2 separate regions of the Mus musculus genome follow, and region 2 is reported to be linked to region 1. Evidence: microRNA targets listed by miRTarBase, many of them from high-throughput screens and not tested one by one. Region 1 holds a microRNA gene; the other region holds the end of a gene's coding sequence.
What was found. Region 1 holds the annotated microRNA mmu-miR-466b-3p (AUACAUACACGCACACAUAAGA, at 2,026-2,047, shown strand). A microRNA usually pairs through its seed, bases 2 to 8, with sites in the 3' UTR of a target mRNA and lowers its output. Matches are read on the target gene's strand: a 7mer-m8 pairs with bases 2 to 8, a 7mer-A1 pairs with bases 2 to 7 and ends in A, and an 8mer does both.

Region 1 (3,271 bases):
TTGGTATTAATGTCATGCAACCCATGTATGTGCATGTGTGCTTACTTGTATGTGCATTGTATGTGTTGACATGATATACATAACATAAACACACGTGTATATGCAAGCACACACACACAGGAAAAAATTGCATTCATTTATACGTTTGAATGATACGTGACTTAAAGTTTTCAAGATTATGCAGTAGTGGGACAGTGAATGGTTTTACTCACCAGGTGTGAAAGATTGTGGATCAGGAGTTCTAATTCATGCTTTACTTCATGATGACTTAGAGATATGCCTGGGATTCATGTGATGCCCCCTATGTATCCCTATCTGTATCTGTTTCTATTGTGTGTGGATTTGAGTATATGGATGTACCTATCTACACAAATATATACATGTACACAGACACAAACAGTAACACACACACAAACATGAATGCAACTCATCGATCCATTTGAATGATATGTGACTTAGAGTTTTAAGATTCCTCATTACTGAATGGGGAGAGGTCTCACTCAGCAGGAGAAATCCCTTGACAGAGTCAGGTGGATCAGGAGTTCAAATTCGTGCTGAATTTTGTGATGAGTTCATGATCAGCATGGGATTCATCTTATGCCCACCAAAAATGTGCATGTGTGTATAGTTGTGTGCATATTCACTTCTCTATATGAATATGCATATACACACATGCACACACATTCATAGGAATGGCCAGAGCTATGTCTCAGTTAGGAGGTGAGCACTCTTGTCAGTGTCAGGATGAGGAATTCAAATTTATGTTTAACTTCATGATGAGTTAGAGTTCAGCATGCGATTCATGTGATGCCCACCAAGAATGTGCATGTGTGTATAGTTGAGTACATATTCACTTCTGTACATGAATATGCATATACTCACATGCAAACATACTCCCACGAATGGCCCGAGCTATGACTTAGTTAGGAGGTGAATACTCTTGCCAGCATCATGAGGATGAGCAATTCAAATTCATGTTTAACTTTATGATGAGTTAGAGATCAGCCCGGAATTCATGTGATTTTCCCTGTGTTTGTGTTTATGTGTATAGGTGAAGTGTGCGTGTACATGCGCGTATATGAACATGCATATATATATATATATATATGTATATATATATATATATATATATATACACACACACACACACACACACACAACTAGGGAAACATACATGTGCACACAAACACACATGGCAGTCATCCTTTTGATTTATACGTGCTTAGAGTTTCATTGAGTGTATATTCATGGTATAGGGAAAAATCTCTCTTATCAGATGAAAACCACTTGCCAGAGTTAGGAGTCTCAGGAGTTCAAATTCATGCTTAACTTCATAATGAGTGAGAGATCACCCTGTTTTTGTGTGATGGACCCTAGGTATGCACAAGTGCATATAATTTTGTGTGCACGTACATGTGTTTATATGATCATACATATAAATACACACACATACAAATGTAGTCACACACACAGGCATGCACACTCACACAAATAAGAATGACACTCATTGATCCATTTGAATGATATATGTCTTAGAATTTTGCTGATTATAAAGTAGGACAGTGAAGGTCTCACTCACCAGGTGTAAACAATTGACAGTGTCAGGAGGATCAGGAGTTCAATTTCATGCTTAACTTCATGAGCAGTTAGAGATCATCCTGGAATAATGTGATGGCCCCTATGTATGTGCCTGTGTGCGTAAGTGCCTGCATGTATATGCGTGTATATTTTATGCATATACATACACACACCTACACACACATGCACACAGACATGCGGGAATGGCCCTCACGGATCCATTTGAATGATATGTGACCTACTGCTTTGGAGGTTATGTATGACTGGCCAGGGTGAGGTCTCACAAACCACGGGAAACCCTTGGTAGAGTCGGGAAGATCAGGAGTGCAAGTTCATGGTAAAGGCATGATGAGTTAGAGGTCATCCTGGCATTCATGTGATTGCCCCTATGAATATGTGTATGTGTTGATGTGTGTGTACATGTACATGTGTGAATATGATATACATATACATACACGCACACATAAGACACATATGAGCACACAGACACATGGGAATGGCACTCATCAATCCATTTGAGTGATAAGTGACTTAGAGTGAAAATGCTTGCTAGAGTTAAGAGTATCAGGAGTTCAAATTCATACTTATCCTCATGAGAGATCAGCCTGTGATTCCTCCATGTATGTGCATGTGTGTATAGTTGTGTGTGCATGTTCATGTCTATATTTGAATATACATAACATACACACACACACGTATAAACGCAAGCACACATACACAGACACAGGAATGGCATTCGCCAATCCCTTTGAATGATAAGTGATGTAGAGTTTTAGAGATTATGCAATAGGGGACATTGAATGGTCTCACCCACCAGGTGTAAAAGATTGACAAAGTCAGGAGGATAAGGATTTCAACTTCATGCTTAATTCAGTTAGAGATCATCCTGGTATTCATGTGAGGCCATCCATGTATGTGCATATGTGTTTACTTGTATATGCATTGCATCTGTTGACATGATATACAAAACATAAACAAACGTGTATATGAAAGCACAGACACAGAGAAAAAAATTGCATTCATTTATACGTTTGAATGATATGCGACTTAAAGTTTTAAAGATTATGCAGTACTGGGACAGTGAACGGTTTTACTCACCAGGTGTGAAAGATTGTGGATCAGGAGTTCTAATTCATGCTTTACTTCATGATGACTTAGAGATATGCCTGGGATTCATGTGATGCCCCCTATGTATCCCTATCTGTATCTGTTTATATTTTGTGTGGATTTGAGTATATGTATGTTCCTATCTACACAAATATATACATGTACACAGACACAAACAGAAACACACACACAAACATCAGTGCAACTCATCGATCCATTTGAATGACGTGTGACTTAGAGTTTTAAGATTCCTCAGTACTGAATGGGGAGAGGTCTCACTCAGCAGGTGAAGTCCCTTGACAGAGTCAGGTGGATCAGGAGTTCAAATTTGTGCTGAATTTCATGATGAGTTCATGATCAGCATGGGATTCATCTTATGCCCACCAAAAATGTGCATGTGTGTATAGTTGTCTGCATATTCACTTCTCTATATGAATATGCATATACACACATGCACACACATTCATAGGAATGGCCAGAGCTATGTCTCAGGAGGTGAGTACTCTTGCCAGTGTCAGGAGGATGAGGAGTTCAAATTCATGTTTAACTTCATGATGAGTTAGAGTTCAGCATGCGATTCATGTGA
Region 2 (3,135 bases), not on the chromosome of region 1:
GGCATTCTCCTCTCTCTCAGTGTGTAAGAACTCCATGGGAAGAAAGCTACACAAGTGATGTAGGAACAGGGCCTCTTCCTTTGCTACTTGAAGCCTGCTCTTTCCCAACTTCTGCCCTCACAGAAGAGAATGTTTCACTTGTAATTATCAGCATTTACTTGGCTTCAAATCCTGTCTTTTGTGATAGGTGTAAAGTTCTTTTTCTTGTTTATCTGATCCTGCATTATAAAAACATTAATTTCCCTTTTTATTTTAGGGTGGAATTGCTTTTGTTGCCATAAAAGGAGCATTTAAGGTTTACTTCAAACAGCAGCAATATTTACGTCAGGCACACCGCAAAATCCTAAATTATCCAGAGCAAGAAGAAGCATAAAACTGACTTCTGGTTGTTCTGAGGCCTCTCATCCTGACGAGTCTGTTGTGTTCTGATTCCATCATTAATGCGCTAGTGGAGACTTGTGACGCTGCTCCTATATTCTAAGAGATACAATAAAGCACGCAGGGCCGGGGCAAGCCGCCCAGTAATCACGGACCTAAGGACACGCGTCAGCTCTGTCATTTGTATGTTCTACTTTTATGGCAGTCGGCTAAACCATTATTTTAGCATGGGAAACCTGAGTTTGTTCATATTTTTCCAGACAAGAATGTAAAGATAAAACTGTACAAACATTAAAAGTGGACATGTTTTATTCTGACGCCTCTTTTGTATATACTCAGTTCAGTGTTTTCTTAGGAATAGCAACTCGATGAAGGAACTGTGAGGGCTTTTCTCATTGGTGTAATTGATTGTATGCTACAAAGGAGCCTCTGTTAACAGGAGGAAGTGTAAACTAGTTCTGAATAAATAACAAACCCAGAAATGTATGTCAGCATTGAAGTGATTATCTGAACAAAAGAGATTTTGTTTTCTTTTCCTAAACCCATGTGACATCTCAGATGTGAAGGGTCAGTTTCCAGGGCTTCCAAAGCACTTTTTCACTATTAAACTTTATTTATGCAATGTTGACATCTCATAGTTCATAGTGTACTTTTGACTCGTAGTCGTCCTGTGTGTGTGGTGTGAGGGTGTGTGTGTGAGCGGGGAAGGGGACTTCAGAAAGAAGGTAGGAGGGAGGGAAGCAGAGGATAGTGATAGGGAAATGAGGTGGAAGGCCCTTTTATCACTTAGTATGTTTTTAAATTTGTATTTCTACAAATTAGAACTACTGATTCATAGGTTAAGCAGAGAACAACTTGCAAAAAATGATAATAAAATTATTGGGTTTCTGTTGATTCCGTTATTCAGATATTTGTTAACTGGCTCCCACTTACCTAGTCACTGTGCAGGTGCTATGGGATAGAGTTGGGGAACTTGTTCAGAGAGTCTGCAGTCTAATAGAACAAGCACTGATTGAACCCAAGGGAGCTCTTGAATATCAGTGAGGTAATTATGGAGTATTGATCAGGGTCATTGGTTTCCACTTTATCTGTTTATAGGATAGCCAATACTGTTTTTAGGGTATCTTGTTTTTGAATCAGGGTCTCTAGCATAGCTAACCTCAGACTTCCTGTGTATCTGAAGGTGGCCTTGAGCTCCTGATCCCTGAGCCTCCTAACTACAGGTGAGCACCACAACACCTGCTTTTCTAACTTAATGCTGTGGATTGAACCTAGGGCCTTACACATGCTAGGTATACACTACATCACCAGCCCTCCTTTTAGATTTTAGTTGTCATATTAAGGGGGCGATCTCCTTACTAGTCATTGTTTAACTAGTTTTATATTCATTGTTCAAAAGCAATTATTTAGGTCATGTTTAATAGTGACCATTACAATGTTCAGCAATCTGATTAGAATGAAAAATTTTTTTTAAAGATTTATTTATTTATTATATGTAAGTACACTGTAGCTGTCTTCAGACACTCCAGAAGAGGGAGTCAGATCTCATTATGGGTGGTTGTGAGCCACCATGTGGTTGCTGGGATTTGAACTCCGGACCTTCGGAAGAACAGTCGGGTGCTCTTACCCGCTGAGCCATCTCACCAGCCCCTAGAATGAAAATTTTTAAAGTTTAAAAAATAATGCTGTTCACAGTATATGATGCATGATAATGCTCCCCCTTTCTGCGAAATGGATACTTCTCTTTAGAAGTGTAACAAATATAGATTGAGCTGTGTTAGATTGTAAATAAATATTTTAGTAAAGACTGGTATCTTTCTCTAGGTTGGTTATCTCAGTTTTGAGTTTTACGGTGTCTGTGGGAATGACTCTTTTGAACATCCAGAGTTGTAATTATCTAGGGTATAAGGGGCAATTTGACTGAGTTAACCTTAACACTGCTGTTATTCTGTAGAGAAAATGTGAACCCTGATTATATATAAAAATAACTAAGATCTACAGCTGTAATTATGAAATTGGCTTCCATCATTGCCAGTGTGAAAATATATATATTCTGACATTTCCTGGATACTCCTGTTAAGTTGAGCAGCTTTTACACAGCCACAAGCCCTCAGCTCCCTGTGTACTACTTTAATTTCCGGGGTGGTGGTGGGGGGTGGGGAGCTGCTTGGATCGATCTATTGGCATCAAGGCCCGTGAAGGCAGAGGTTTATAGAGCTATGGGGAGGGAGCCACACTTGTCTGCAGTCCAGAGTGAACACTAGCCCTGCTGCATTTGAACACCACATGACAGGCCTCCCTGGAACCACAAATCAAAAGACATGGGCAGACTGAAAGCTGAATAGGTTACGTTGAGCTCCCATCAAGTTTTAGTAGCTGTAGTGTATAACCTTGGCCAGGTGGCTATTCAGCCACAGTTACGTTCATCTCTAAAATGCAAGTCACACCTAGACACTTTCTAGGATTTGGTTGAGAAAAGACAGGTACTTTCGGCCTCAGTAGCTCCTAAAGGTGGTCGTCCCATCTAGGACAGGGCAGTAACCAAGGGTAGGGCCCTCGAGGACAGAGCCAGCACAGACTTGAGGATTTGTGAGTATGCTGTTCTCCGATTTTCTTTCTTTTTCTTCCTTCCTTCCTTCCTTCCTTCCTTCCTTCCTTCCTTCCTTCCTTCCTTTCTTTTTGTCCTAGAAATGTCACATTTAAACCTTTTTTTAAAAAAATTAGAATTCAGTGATTAGTAAAATTCTATTGTAGAAG

Region 2: miRTarBase lists Marchf5 as a target of mmu-miR-466b-3p. Seed matches in the 3' UTR shown: 7mer-A1 at 1,871-1,877.

What each region holds. Positions count from the first base shown.
Region 1 is chr2:10,486,914-10,490,184 of GRCm38, forward strand. It overlaps Mir466b-5 (microRNA 466b-5), which reads left to right and starts at 1,974; the gene lies at 1,974-2,061. The region is part of intron 10 of Sfmbt2 (Scm-like with four mbt domains 2); the gene reads left to right. It overlaps Mir467a-5 (microRNA 467a-5), which reads left to right and starts at 1,686; the gene lies at 1,686-1,768. It overlaps Mir669p-1 (microRNA 669p-1), which reads left to right and starts at 2,203; the gene lies at 2,203-2,289.
Region 2 is chr19:37,221,134-37,224,268 of GRCm38, forward strand. It overlaps Marchf5 (membrane associated ring-CH-type finger 5), which reads left to right. Exons shown (of 6, transcript NM_027314.3): 6 at 257-3,135. The coding sequence ends at 373. Among named protein-coding and RNA genes, the nearest start is that of Gm25268, 11 kb to the right of the region's middle.